Saccharomyces cerevisiae S288C: one gene and its partners. The protein of the gene in region 1 binds, or shares a complex with, the protein of each later gene. Each region holds a gene or a part of one and is shown in the gene's direction. Other genes may lie near its edges.

Region 1 (3,676 bases):
GAATGCTGTAATTTCAATCCGAACCGTTTCAGCTGCTTTACAAACCAGTTGGTATCTTTGCGAACCTTAAACTGAAAAACTCGGAATGGTTTCATTGACTTGAAACGAAGCTTGCGCAACTGCAATCTGGATCCCGACCAACATTGTTTTGCTTTTTGGCAAGAATGATCGAAATACCTTTTAATATGTGGAGAAAATTGCCTGTATTTATTATGAAGTAGCACAAAGAGCCTTTTCCAGCGGCGTTTCTGTTCTTTATGCAATACCCTTAAACTTTCTTGAGCGGATTTAAAAGAATTCTTGAGAAATAGGTGTAACTTTATTCTTCCTCCGTTTATTTTGTTAATTCTCTTGTGCCAACCGTCTTTCATTCGAGCTTTTGTTGTATACCATAAAATAACTAAGTCTGTTTTGTATCGTCTCCAGCCCATTAGGTCATCATCCTTTAATGGGTATGCAATATGATTGTCGAAGTCGACGTAGTATTTTCCTGAAGGAGCCCACTGACTTAAAGAGTCACTTGATGAATCGTAAGATTTTTTATCAACAAAATCGATATTGCCGTACAACAGCTTCCTTTCATTATTACGTAATGACTGTTGTGATTTAAAACCTGCCAACACATCACCAGTCAGGGAATATTCGAGGGCGAGGTATGAAAAGGTCATGGAAAGCAATGAAGATAGCATGATAACATGCCACATCTTCAATTTAGCAGATTTACCCTCACTTTTATCTATGATATGATCCGATAGTGTGCTAGAATTCCTTATCGTACTATCCTTCAGTTTCGACCCCTCCATACTTGGCAATACCGTTCCGCCAACATTTGAGCCGGACAAAGTATCAAATGACTCTGAAATAGTGGGAACTCCAGTTTGATCAATATTAACTCCAGCATTACTAAATTCATTAGATGTTCTAAAATCGTAAATACGATTCATCTGTGCAGACTCTTCACTGCTAGTGTTCGATAGGACATCTGCATCGAAGTCCTCGTCGTCCTCTCCTGCAAAGGAGCTTTCATGCAAACTATCCAAAGATATTTCTGACTTCGATGACTGTTCTTCCCCTTCTCTCCCTTTACGTAATCTACGTAATCTAACTAAATTCCAATGATCGTCTTCTTCTGACATTTTAGGTCCGACAACTCGACTGTTTTACTAGTCTCTATTATCGTCACTGCGTATTACTCTGCTACTGTGCTTGTTACTTTATACCGGAACAGTAGCTCCTAAACGATTATTCCAAATGAAGAAAAACGTTTGGCCAGTAACCTGCATAAAACTGAATAACTATAATGATACTCCGACTAATAATATATCCCAATGCCCCATCTCATCTGTGTAGATCAATTTTTATGGCTCGATCCAGGTACCTTGATAAGCAGCTGTCGCGCAAAGGGGTTACCGCAAAATGGATAGATGGACCGGGGGCACACCGGGGTAGGGGGTCCGGAGGGTTAACTGTCAACTCCACCCATACAAGACCGCGCAGAAATCGTCGCAGGACCCCGCCGAACGGCGAAAGCAAATATGCAGCCGTAAAGACCTAACAATAAACCTAATGTAGTCATAGGGCTAATTGATTTTAAATATATGACCTAGCTGACTATTCAAGTTTGCCCTAATTGATGAGTTTTTGAAAAAAAAAACAACTTAGGTTTCGCTATCCAAGCTTATGCTATGGGAAGCGTTGGAAAACTTGCATATAGTATGAACAAGAGCGAGATATAAAACTATAACGGTAGATGGAAAGTAAAGAGTAGACAAGCTCGGAAACATGGAAAATAGCATGATGTTTATATCGCGTTCCTTGCGGAGACCCGTTACTGCTTTGAACTGCAATTTACAAAGCGTTAGAACAGTCATATACCTTCATAAGGGTCCGAGAATTAATGGTTTGAGACGAGATCCAGAGTCGTACTTGAGAAATCCTAGCGGGGTACTCTTTACTGAAGTTAACGCAAAAGAGTGTCAAGACAAAGTTAGATCCATACTACAATTGCCCAAGTACGGAATAAATTTATCAAACGAACTGATTTTGCAGTGTTTAACACATAAGTCGTTCGCACACGGGTCAAAGCCATACAACGAAAAACTGAATCTGCTAGGAGCACAGTTTTTGAAACTACAGACGTGCATTCATTCGTTAAAGAATGGTTCGCCGGCCGAGAGTTGCGAGAACGGGCAACTTTCTTTGCAGTTCAGCAATCTGGGAACAAAATTCGCTAAGGAATTAACGTCCAAAAACACAGCATGCACATTCGTTAAATTACATAATCTAGACCCTTTCATATTTTGGAAGATGAGAGACCCAATAAAAGATGGCCACATAAATGGTGAAACCACGATTTTTGCTAGTGTCTTGAACGCATTTATTGGTGCAATTCTGTCAACGAATGGATCTGAAAAAGCAGCTAAATTTATCCAAGGAAGTTTGCTGGATAAAGAAGATCTTCATTCCTTGGTTAACATTGCTAATGAAAATGTAGCATCTGCAAAGGCAAAAATATCCGACAAGGAAAATAAAGCATTTCTGTGAAGATACAAAAAATATAGTTGATGGTTCACTGGCCAAAAATGTATAAAAGAAAAATTTATCTGTAAATAGTGATCGAAATAAAATAAGATAATAACTAAAGAATATATATGACTTTACTGTACAGATCTATAATTGAAAAATGACGAGAGGTCCTGTGAAAGAGTCTGCCTGTTCGCCATCTTCACACATTCAACCAATTCCCTGGTGCGCTTGGTTACTTCCATCAGGATATCTGCTAATTTTTGATAGAATCGTTTCTTCCCAAGCTTTGTGGAATCGCATCCATAAGTACACAATTCCGATAACTTTTGCGAGCAATCTGTGAGCCTTTCAATAATTTCTTTACAGTGCTCGCCTAAATCCAGTTTAAAACTTTTTTGGACCATTGCTTTGGTAGTCATATCAATCACCGATTCCAAAATAGGAATAATCTCGATGGAATTTTGACATAATCTCGAAACTGATCTTGCGGACTTGAACAATTTTGATTTAGAGGCTTGAACATCATTCAAAATGCCCTGCCTGCCATAGGAAGAACAACCATTGATTTACTCTCAACAAATTCGACGAGGTTATTTATGTTAGCGTTGTGCGTGGTTGAGTTGACATCAGAATTATTCAAGTTTTCTTCTGAAGTAGATATTCTTAATCCAAGACCAGAGTTGGGAGCAAATTTCTGCACTTTCTCTCTGAATTTCCTCATTTTGGTCACGGTTGGCGAGTAAAGTACGTCTGCAGCTGGCGGAATATTTGCATACGGCTTCGCCGTTTCTGCCACTGGTTTAGTGATAACTTTCTTCGGAGGTGATGCCTGATAATCCTGCCGAAATTTACCAATTAGCGGCAATGTGTTACCTTGAGGACTTGGACTTCTCGAGTTCGAGACAACTTTCAGAGGCAAACCTTCTCGCGGAGATGGCTCACTCGTAATTCTTGAAGAATTCTTAGTGTTTTTTAACGGCGACACAGACGCTAAGTTTGTTTCTCCAGATGTATTATTTCGTACCTTCCCACTCTCTCGAATAGAAGATTCAGATTTTTCTATGATGGAAATTGATGGCGATGCTACAACCACTGGCATGTCCGATTTTTTTGTAATGGGCTTACCAGAGGATGGAAAACTAACAGCAGT
Region 2 (4,023 bases), on another chromosome or scaffold:
AAATACTCGATGAAAAAAAAAAAAAAAAGATGATGACGATGACTTTGTTGAAGAAATGTGTTTGAAGACAGTGGAGGATAACAGCACTCTCATCGCACTTTTGGAAGCGTATCATGAAAAGCGATTCAGTTGAAATCACTACCATCTGCCCAGATGTTGAAAATTCTCAGTTTGTTGTGCAAAGCAACTGTCCAGAGACTATTCCAGAGATTCTAAAGTCTCAAAATGCCGCTGTGAATGGCAGCGGCATCGCTTGCCAACAACGTAGCTTACCAAGAATCAAAATCTTGGGTACCGGTGGTACTATTGCATCGAAAGCTATAGACTCCTCTCAAACTGCCGGCTATCATGTTGACCTGACCATCCAAGATCTATTGGATGCCATTCCAGATATATCCAAGGTCTGTGACATTGAATATGAGCAACTATGCAACGTGGATTCTAAAGACATAAACGAGGATATTCTTTATAAAATTTATAAGGGCGTCTCAGAATCGTTGCAGGCTTTTGACGGTATAGTTATTACCCATGGGACTGATACGCTATCTGAAACTGCATTCTTTATTGAAAGTACTATTGATGCTGGCGACGTTCCTATTGTTTTTGTTGGTTCGATGCGTCCTTCAACCAGCGTTTCTGCTGATGGCCCTATGAACCTTTACCAAGCAATTTGCATTGCTTCAAATCCAAAATCTAGAGGAAGAGGTGTTCTTGTTTCCTTGAATGACCAAATTTCCTCTGGTTACTACATTACTAAGACGAATGCAAATAGTTTGGATTCTTTTAATGTTAGACAAGGCTATTTAGGAAATTTTGTCAACAATGAAATTCACTACTATTATCCTCCTGTGAAACCGCAAGGTTGCCACAAATTCAAACTGAGAGTGGACGGTAAGCATTTTAAATTACCAGAGGTTTGCATTTTATATGCTCACCAAGCCTTTCCGCCAGCTATAGTCAACTTAGTGGCAGATAAGTATGATGGTATTGTTCTTGCTACCATGGGTGCTGGTTCATTGCCGGAGGAGGTCAATGAAACCTGCATGAAATTGAGTTTGCCGATCGTATATTCCAAGAGATCGATGGATGGTATGGTGCCTATTGCCAACGTACCAAAGAAAGGTTCAAAGGAGGATAATCTCATCGCATCTGGTTATCTAAGCCCTGAAAAGAGCAGAATCTTGTTACAATTATGTTTGGCAGGTAACTACACGTTGGAAGAAATTAAACATGTTTTCACTGGCGTCTATGGTGGGTGAAAATTTTGTAATTTTTTGCATTTGTGTCGATATATATATATATATACATAGACACAGAGATAGAGATATAATTATGCAAGTCCCTGTTAATGCTAGTCTGAGATGAGTACAGGAATTCTTCATTTAGATTGTCTCGGCTATGTCACTTTTCTATCGTTTCACCTGCACATGGCTTTGTCTTGAATACTGAAGCCGTTATTATAGTTCTATCTTCATGTTTTTAGAGGTTTTTTTTAAATGAGTTTATTAAAATTAAATTTTGAATGTTATTTTTGAATAAAAATATAAAAAAAATAATATTAATAATTTTTCATTAACTGCTCATGATATCAGTGCATTAGAAAATCTTTTGGTTCCACTTTTCCTATAAAAATAATTCAAGTTTTATCATTATATCATTTTTAAATATTTGATTATCATCGCCCGCTGGTCACCGCATTTTTAAAGAATAAATATTACTTTTTTCGAAATCTGGTGTTTAAATATTTTTAAGAAAGTTAAAAAATAAGGAATATTTGATAAACAAAAAAAAATTAGCCTTTATATATCCATTTTTGTTTATGTATTCCTTTTTTTATTTTCTTATGTGTTTGGGATTTACTGTCGCAGTCTTTTCAAATTTTCCGGGCTAAACCGGAAGCCGGAAGGTCTGGGATAAGACAACAGTATCCAATACAATATCAGACTACAGCAAAAAGCTTATTCAGAGATCTTTACAGAAATCAAGGTCACTGCCGAACTATGTTACGAAGATCTATTCATACCACTAAAATCCTCCAAAAACCTAATGCTACTTCGCATATTTGGTCGGACTTTACCACAAGGCCTAGTTCACTTTCTATCCAATCTTCAAAAGTGAAAAATTACCTTTTCCAGAAGAAAGCTTCTCTAGACCCACCATCTATCAGCAGAAGAAGTAACCGTATCAAATATTCACCTCCAGAACACATTGATGAGATTTTCAGGATGAGTTATGATTTTCTTGAGCAAAGATCCAGTAAGTTTTATGAGTTGGCCAATAAGACTAAAAATCCCTTGAAGAAGGATGCACTTCTCATAAAAGCAGAGATCAATAATCCTGAGGTACAATACAATTTTCAGTTTAATAACAAGTTGAACAATGTTAAGGATATAATAGATTATGATGTGCCAGTGTACAGACATTTGGGGAAACAACATTGGGAATCGTACGGCCAGATGTTATTGATGCAAAGGTTAGAAACGTTGGCTGCCATTCCTGATACTCTTCCAACTCTGGTTCCACGGGCAGAAGTGAATATCAAATTTCCCTTCTCTACTGGTGTAAATAAGTGGATCGAACCTGGTGAATTTCTATCGTCCAATGTCACATCCATGCGTCCCATTTTCAAAATTCAAGAATATGAACTTGTGAACGTTGAAAAACAATTGTATACGGTACTGATAGTCAATCCTGATGTTCCAGATTTGAGTAATGACTCATTTAAAACGGCTTTGTGTTACGGATTGGTGAATATTAATTTGACTTATAATGACAATTTAATAGATCCAAGAAAGTTCCACAGTTCTAATATTATCGCTGACTACTTACCTCCGGTACCTGAAAAGAATGCTGGAAAACAGAGATTCGTTGTTTGGGTATTCAGACAACCCTTAATCGAGGATAAGCAAGGTCCTAACATGTTAGAGATTGACCGAAAGGAACTAAGTAGAGATGATTTTGATATCAGGCAATTTACGAAGAAATACAATCTAACCGCTATTGGGGCACATATCTGGAGAAGCGAATGGGATGCCAAAGTCGCCGCCGTCAGAGAAAAATATGGCCTACCACCTGGAAGGGTTTTTAGCAGAGTTAGAAGGTGATCCTAAATAGTATGACATTATAGTATCCTGTACATATAAAATAACGTGTCATTGTTAATAAAGCTTGATGCAAATAATATAAAGTAAGAATCTGAAAAATTTTTGGAATGTGAATTTTGTTTACAATACGATACGTATGATATTAGTATGTTCTAGAATATATACATTTCATTTTTTTCCTTATTGTTTGTGCACTAACGAATGAAGAAAAAAATATGGAACATCTAGCGAACGAGAATCCATCATAACTTCGTCATTCAGTGCGAGCTAATGTGCATTTTTAGTATCCTATTTATGTTGAAGCTTCTATTTATGTTGAAGCTTCCTTCAGGGATTCAACGGCGTTAAGAATAACTCTTTCAAAATCTATATTAGGATCTTCCAAATTAAATGAGGCGTTCGCAGGCACATCTTTAGGAGTTACTACAGGGTGTAGCTTGGCGTATTCCTTCTTTGCCTCCTCTACCAGCTTCAATTTCTCCTCGTACTGTGCCTGCTCCTCTTTCTTCTTAGCATTACACTTCAAAATCATATCATTTCTAAAACCAAAAAATAGCCCCAAACCCAACGCAGAGTATCTCAAAACATTAACTGTCGACATCCTTTAACTCACTCAGCTAGTTCCTATATACGTTATGTTCCGATATAATACTTCCTTTTATCTAAAATTTCTGTGTGAAAAGTCAAAAAAACTAAAGAAAAATTTATACCCTTAAATAGATCTGATTGGCTCCGCGGACCAATTAGCGTGGAGATTCCGCGAATGATCGAATAATAAAGATATGTCTTAATTAAACCCATGGTCACCCAGCTTCGATTGAACGGTATGTATTCTTGAGTGCAATTCTTCTAAGTTCTTATTAAGTGTGACGATCTCCTCCAATCTACGCTGCTTCTTATAGTCCTGAATTGTGGACTC
Region 3 (3,573 bases), on another chromosome or scaffold:
GGAAAACAAGTTCAAAGAAGCCAGTTCATTATGGCCTACTCGTAAAATTTCCGGGTACTCCAGGATGGCCAGTACTTGCCTGGTAAAGGTCAAAGGCTTCTGATCCAGTTGCTGCGGATTACCAATGTTCGCATTGATAATATCATCGAAAGGCAAAACTTCTGGGTTTTTTTTCAATTCCTCTTTTAGCTCGTCAGCTCTGGTTGGAATAGCTCCTCTTACAGCATATTCTGCCTTAGTGACACCTGTATTCAAATCTTTTTTAGTAATCTTGCCAGCGGGCTTAAAATCCAAATCCTTTGCGGTGAACACACCTTTCAAATCCTGTTGGTGTGTCATTGTCATGTGTTCTTACTTCTTCTGTGTTTACCACTTACAAAAACAACACTACTGTGGCGCTCCTTCCCTTTATTCTTATCTTTTATGCCTCTAGAGATATGAGGAAATATTGGGGTATTTACTGAATGAGAAAAGGATGATGTCAGTCAAGAAAGGATCAAAAAGAAAAGTGAACAGAATATAGTTCCCACACGAAGTAGTAAATTTAGCTATCCTAAAAGTGTATTGGTAATTTGAAGAGATATGTAGATGTACATATGGGACCATAAGAGTAGGAAAAATAAAATAAAATCGCCAAACAAGTAGGAGAAGCCTCAAGATACAAGCCGTTTCCATGGAGAAAATATTGCGAATGAGGCCAAACTTGAACTTTTTTTTTTTCTGCTAAAAAATTCAGAAAAAAAATGAAATTATTTTCTTAGGTATAATGAAGTAATTATGACGAAGTACTTTGAGAACCCATAAAGAGAAGCAATTGAAGACGTGTGGAGGACATCAGCCCGCAGCACATTAGTAGAAACAATAGTATCGTGATGTGATCCCTCTTGGACCCTTTGCCAATCAAGGGTGAAGCGAAGCCATTTAAAACGTACGAACAATGGCGGTAGTTGAGGTATGGGTGAGGCCGCAGATTAAATCCCGGCGGCAGGAGCAACCGCTTTTAACCAGAATTGTATGTTATAAAGTATCTGTATATACGTGTATATATGTTGTGTGTATGTGAATGAGCAGTGGATCTAAGTAACTAAGTCCTCTAGTTCTTCAGGATCGAGGCCTTCTTCGCTGTACACTAACTCCATGGTTGGGACGGCGGCAACTTCTTTGAAGTTCTTAGACAGCAGTGGTAACGCTGCACCTTCTTCTTGATTCCGAGTGATGCACTCAGTCTCATCTTTTTCGCCTTCTTCATCAATTTGTTCTAGTGGGAGTAAATCAACTTTATCTGGGGTGTCATCTTCGTCTTCCAAGTCAAGCTTATATGGTGAGTTGAACGTCTTCAGCTTTTCAATATCATCTTGTTGAAATGGGGAATAGCCTTCTGGTACATACGGTAACGGCTCCTGCCTCTGTGGTGCTATTTCGATATCATAGTCATCAGTTTTATCACTTTTATCGTTTTTAGTTTTTTGCTCATTCTTCGTGGAGTTCTTTATGAGTTGTTGCAGACCACCTTGCTCATTAAATAGTCCTAGGCCACCATTTAATTCATTTTCACCGTCGGAGGAATCCTGTTTTAAAAGTGCACTTTGGAGTTTTTTGCCAAGTTTACTCTCGGAATCTTCATTACCTTCATCATCGTCGGAACTCTCTTCATTTTTACCTGAATCTGCAAGATCTTTTAAAACTAGACTTTTCATTTTAGGTAAAGCATTATAACCAAGGACAGAACCGTACTTTTGTAACTTTCTTGAATTGCTTAACAAATCATTATGGTTGGCCCTACTACGACTGCGAGAAATTTGCGAAAGTTTCCTGAGTTGGTCGTTTTTGCGTATAGATAGTGTATTCTGTAGTTGTGGTAAGTCTGCATCTTTACTCTGATTAGAAGTTTCGGGAAAAATAAAGCTTTTCGATCTATTGTTGTCTTTTGCTGCCAGAGGCAATCTTCCTTGTTGTTGCGCATGGGTATGCAACCTTTTTGTGGGTGACACCTCCTTCCCTCCTTGTATGTACTTTAATGTGTTGCCATTGTTGCTGTTCGCATCCCTTTTGAGTTGGTCCAATCTTACAGGTGGTTTTAAAATATTAGAGTGCGACCTTTTCAGCAAGTGAGCCGGCGTCTGTGGAAAGTTAATGCCGGAACTTTCATTCCCTGTATATACGATATTATTCTCTTTATCTTCGTTAGCTGGCATCATAAAGGTTTATTATCTAGCACTTAATCTAGCTTGGTACCGCAGAAGTGTAATAGTATGTGAATGGGAAAAACCGCTAGCAACCGTTACTTGCCTTCGCCGAATATTGATTTAAAGCTGCATTTATTTTGTTTGTTTATTTTGTTTGTTTTTCTTTTTGACCTCTTACACGAGTTTTTTGACGCGTTTGAGATCTTTGTGTGAAAACGATAAGCAACCTACGCTAACAAATACACACGTCGCACGGAAAGTGATAGTGAAGCAGATATTTCTCGCAAATCCTATGTTATCCGTAAAATAAATCCAACCCTAAAGTATTAACATGTAACAACTTAAGCGCTTCCTTAAGACTGTATAGATATATATATATACATATATATACATAATCATGAAACGCATCGTCGAAAGGTCATTTGAAGCTCGGATCACGTGATCGAAAGCTGTAAGGAATTTGAAAAGCCAATTTTCCCGTAGAAGCTGTGAGGTACAACAAGTGAAATAACTACAGGAGAAACTCACTGAGAAACGTTGGAATAGAACAGTAGTAATCGCAGGACGGAATGCCACTATTTGCAAGGCTCTGCCAGCCTCAATCAAGAAGAATGTTTTCATCTATATCTTCTTTCTCTGCTCTATCTGTGTTACGCCCACAAACCGGTATGCTCTTAAACAGTTCACCATTGAAGACTCCGTCCTTCACACCGTTGGGATTTGGCTTAATAGGTCAAAGAAGATGGAAATCAAGGGGTAACACCTATCAACCTAGTACATTGAAACGGAAGAGAACTTTTGGTTTCTTGGCTAGGGCCAAGAGCAAACAGGGCTCTAAGATATTGAAAAGGAGGAAGCTCAAAGGTAGGTGGTTTTTGTCTCATTGAAATTTCACATACTATTCAGATAAATTTGAATACTTCTTGTACATAGGTATCTAATGATTATGCAACATACACTTTCACTATTATTCAAAAATAAAAGAGCAGTTACTTTATTCCACTTTAAAAAGACGGTTACTTTGTATGTACATGATTTTATATAAAAAGAAAGAAAATGCACCAGTATATATATATATACAATTAAAAAAGTCCAACAAGACAAAACTGATTCGCTGATTAAGCAAAATCGATTACAATACCGGGGCCATGTGTGCTTGATAATGTGGTTTTACTCAGTATATTTGGTTTCTTAGATTTTTGATTATCAACAGCAGTTTTAAATGCCGCTCTAGCGGATATAATGTTTTGTAAAATTTCTCGATCAGTGAAGTAGCATTTGCCGACTCCAATGCTGATAGAGTTTCCCCTTTGCCTGAAAGGCATAGATCCTAGACTTTCTTGAAGTAAGGAGCTTATATCATCACTCACCGTACCTTTTTTGACAG
Region 4 (3,513 bases), on another chromosome or scaffold:
CTTTTAGTGCCATGTAGATCCTGAAAAATTTTGAATTGCAAATCTGCAGGTAAAGCCGAGTAGATTGGTAAAATTTCAATATCATTGATCTCTTCAAAGTTTGCGGTACCAAACTTTTTAGAATATACTTGCAAAAACTTTTCTTGCAGAGTGTCGAACGTTGTTTCAATATCTTCTTGACCTGTCATGAAAATGAGAATATCACCGCTTGAACAATCGTTTGCTAAATGAATTTTCACAGCCTGAGAAACTGCAGCTTCTACGTAGTCTTGAACAGGGTTGGAAGTATATATGGTCTGTACGGGGAAAGTTCTTCCAGGAATTGTGAACTGAGGAGCATTACCAAAAAATGCGGAGAACTTCTTCGCATTCATTGTTGCTGAAGTGATTATGAGTTTTAGATCTCTTCTACGTGCTAATAAAATCTTGAAAAAACCTAGTAAAATGTCTGTATTTAATGACCTTTCATGAGCTTCATCAATAATAACACACGAATATTTATCGAGTGTATCATCCAATAAGGTCTCTCTGAGTAGAATACCATCCGTTACAAACTTAAGTTTTGTACACTCAGAATCCGTCACATCTTCAAACCTTATAGAATAGCCTACTTCCTTACCCAATGGAACTTGCATTTCCATTGCAACCCTTTTTGCAACGGATATGGCTGCTACTCTTCTCGGCTGTGTGACAACAATAGATTTCCCCCTATCGTTGGCATATCCTTCTTCATATAAATACTGTGCAAGTTGCGTGGTTTTACCTGAGCCCGTTTCACCAATTATCACCACTACTTGATTTTCTCTTATCAATGATAACAATTGAGATCTGCAGCGGAAAACAGGCAGTTGCTCTTTAGTATGTTTAATGTCATCTTTTGATGGCGTGAAAAGAGCTGTATCGTCGCAAATCTTTTGGTTGCTCTTATCTTTTGCTTTATTGTTATTCTCCAAGCCTAGTACTTCCCCCATGGCAGTGTTCAAAACAGTGGTGTTGTCTCGAGATTGTTGAATATGTTCCATGTTTATCCTTCTCAAGGCAACCAGCTTACTACCTCGTTTGGCGTTCGCAGAAAATTCACTGTCAGGATTCCTAAATGGATTCACCATTGATAAAGCGGATACTTGGCTGGACGTCTCAGAGATGGACCCGATAATTATGGAAGTGGGCACTTTGTTTTCAAGAGCAAACTTTGATAAAAAAGGAGGGATCCATTCCATTCTTTGCTTGAGTGGTATGGGGTATAATTGAACGGTATTTCGTAAGGCATCATCGTTGTCGATATTCCTAATGACAGGTAGTAGTTTCGCTTCCTCAGGCAATTCAGACAGAGGTTCAGGCACCAAATTTCCATAATCATCATCATTATCATACCATTCTCTGTCCTCCTCAACTACTTCGCTTCGAGTCGGTTCATAGTCCTTCGTTTCAGCATGACCATTCTGTGTTTGCTGTTCACTATTTGGAGAAGGATCCTTCACGGTGGGCGAATACTGCCTCAACTGTTTGGCCTTTAGTTTATCTATTCTCTTGAACAACGTCCGTGTAGGTGCTGGTTTTTTTTGAACTGGAGAATCTAGCTCATCTTCATTATCGTCAAGGTCTAACTGGATCTTAAATTTCTTTCTCTTATTTATAGAAGGGGCGATTTTCTTTGGGCCTGTCGAGTCCTCTTCAGATTTATTCTTGAGGAGCTCCAGAAGTTCATTAAAAATGATTGGATTGTTACTGCTGAGTTTCGTCAAAGCTTTACAGCTGGCAATAAACTGTTCTAGATTAGTATTCGGCTTTTGCGCTAGTTTCTGCAGTGTCAAAAGCAACCCAGGCGTTAGTTCTTTTGACGTAAGTTCCTTAAATATGTCTTTTATCCTTTCCTCACGCCCCGAATGACCCATACCAGAGGTATTTGTATTGTCTTTGGGCCTTCTTGTGTTTTATCATCTGCAGTCATCTCATGAATTTTTCAGCTTTCACCGCTTTTATTATTTGAGAAAATAGAAAAGAGGGCAAAAAGAGATACTTTCAACAAGTTAAAATGGAAAATTAAAGACAAAGTAAAATAGCACAAGAATGATTGGCAGAGGTGTGTGCTGCAGATCGTTCCACACTGCTGGATCTGCCTGGAAGCAATTTGGATTTCCCAAAACACAAGTGACAACGATTTACAACAAGACTAAGAGCGCATCTAACTATAAAGGGTATTTAAAGCACAGAGATGCTCCAGGAATGTACTATCAACCATCAGAATCCATCGCAACCGGATCTGTTAACAGTGAGACCATTCCACGTAGCTTTATGGCAGCCAGTGACCCTCGTAGAGGGCTTGACATGCCTGTTCAAAGCACTAAAGCGAAGCAGTGTCCAAATGTTCTCGTAGGTAAGAGCACAGTGAACGGCAAAACCTATCATCTGGGACCTCAAGAAATTGATGAGATCCGGAAGTTACGTCTTGACAATCCTCAAAAGTATACACGCAAATTTTTGGCTGCAAAATATGGCATTTCGCCATTATTTGTATCCATGGTCTCGAAACCTAGTGAACAACATGTACAAATTATGGAAAGTAGATTGCAAGAAATCCAATCACGCTGGAAGGAGAAGAGGCGTATAGCCAGAGAGGACCGTAAGCGTAGAAAACTCCTGTGGTACCAGGCGTGAATGCTATATAAATATAATAACAATCGTGTAAATACTACTCTATAAGTACTTCGTATTCATATATTGATCACAATGCACGGAGACGCCCATTAATGTGACTTGAATATACCACATGAAAGCTAACCAATAAGCAATTTAAAAAGAGTTAAGTACAGCTTGGAGACACCCAAAGGCTTCTGCTTCGACAACTATTGACTATCGAGATGGCTTACAGTGACTACAGCGATGGAGCAGACGACATGCCGGACTTTCACGACGAAGGTGAATTTGATGATTATTTGAATGACGATGAATATGATCTAATGAACGAGGTATTTCCTACTCTAAAGGCGCAGTTACAGGATTACCAAGGCTGGGATAATCTTTCACTTAAGCTAGCTTTGTTTGACAACAATTTCGATTTGGAAAGCACGCTGGCGGAATTGAAGAAAACTTTGAAGAAGAAGAAGACACCAAAGAAGCCAATTGCTGCTGCTAATGGGAGTGCGAATGTTACTCAAAAACTGGCAAACATCTCAATTTCGCAACAAAGGCCAAATGATCGGCTTCCAGACTGGCTTGACGAGGAAGAAAGTGAGGGTGAACGCAATGGTGAGGAAGCCAATGATGAAAAGACAGTTCAAAGATACTATAAGACTACGGTGCCAACGAAACCAAAGAAACCTCATGATATTTCTGCATTTGTTAAATCTGCCTTACCTCACTTAAGTTTTGTTGTTCTTGGTCATGTTGATGCGGGAAAATCAACTCTAATGGGCAGACTACTTTATGATCTGAACATTGTCAACCAATCCCAACTGAGAAAGCTACAAAGAGAGAGTGAAACTATGGGTAAGTCATCCTTCAAATTTGCAT

The links.
Region 2: MRPL15 (region 1) and MRPL35 share a complex: the UniProt entries of both Saccharomyces cerevisiae proteins name them as parts of the mitochondrial large ribosomal subunit.
Region 3: MRPL15 (region 1) and MRX14 share a complex: the UniProt entries of both Saccharomyces cerevisiae proteins name them as parts of the mitochondrial large ribosomal subunit.
Region 4: MRPL15 (region 1) and MRPL20 share a complex: the UniProt entries of both Saccharomyces cerevisiae proteins name them as parts of the mitochondrial large ribosomal subunit.

What each region holds. Positions count from the first base shown.
Region 1 is NC_001144.5:757,698-761,373, forward strand, and holds MRPL15 (mitochondrial 54S ribosomal protein mL57 MRPL15), read left to right. Parts: upstream 1-1,782; coding exon 1,783-2,544; downstream 2,545-3,676. Other genes in the region: ATG39 (Atg39p), read right to left, coding at 1-1,136; SPH1 (Sph1p), read right to left, coding at 3,053-3,676. UniProt on the Saccharomyces cerevisiae protein: Component of the mitochondrial ribosome (mitoribosome), a dedicated translation machinery responsible for the synthesis of mitochondrial genome-encoded proteins, including at least some of the essential transmembrane subunits of the mitochondrial respiratory chain.
Region 2 is NC_001136.10:1,108,589-1,112,611, forward strand, and holds MRPL35 (mitochondrial 54S ribosomal protein mL38 MRPL35), read left to right. Parts: upstream 1-2,000; coding exon 2,001-3,104; downstream 3,105-4,023. Other genes in the region: asparaginase ASP1, read left to right, coding at 114-1,259; TIM11 (F1F0 ATP synthase subunit e), read right to left, coding at 3,415-3,705; PEP7 (phosphatidylinositol-3-phosphate binding protein), read right to left, coding at 3,892-4,023. UniProt on the Saccharomyces cerevisiae protein: Component of the mitochondrial ribosome (mitoribosome), a dedicated translation machinery responsible for the synthesis of mitochondrial genome-encoded proteins, including at least some of the essential transmembrane subunits of the mitochondrial respiratory chain.
Region 3 is NC_001136.10:679,420-682,992, forward strand, and holds MRX14 (mitochondrial 54S ribosomal protein bL34m MRX14), read left to right. Parts: upstream 1-2,755; coding exon 2,756-3,073; downstream 3,074-3,573. Other genes in the region: alanine transaminase ALT2, read right to left, coding at 1-345; PDS1 (securin), read right to left, coding at 1,077-2,198; YDR114C (uncharacterized protein), read right to left, coding at 2,505-2,807; mitochondrial 54S ribosomal protein uL1m MRPL1, read right to left, coding at 3,305-3,573. UniProt on the Saccharomyces cerevisiae protein: Component of the mitochondrial ribosome (mitoribosome), a dedicated translation machinery responsible for the synthesis of mitochondrial genome-encoded proteins, including at least some of the essential transmembrane subunits of the mitochondrial respiratory chain.
Region 4 is NC_001143.9:598,239-601,751, reverse strand, and holds MRPL20 (mitochondrial 54S ribosomal protein mL58 MRPL20), read left to right. Parts: upstream 1-2,070; coding exon 2,071-2,658; downstream 2,659-3,513. Other genes in the region: DEAH-box RNA helicase PRP16, read right to left, coding at 1-1,895; ribosome dissociation factor GTPase HBS1, read left to right, coding at 2,862-3,513. UniProt on the Saccharomyces cerevisiae protein: Component of the mitochondrial ribosome (mitoribosome), a dedicated translation machinery responsible for the synthesis of mitochondrial genome-encoded proteins, including at least some of the essential transmembrane subunits of the mitochondrial respiratory chain.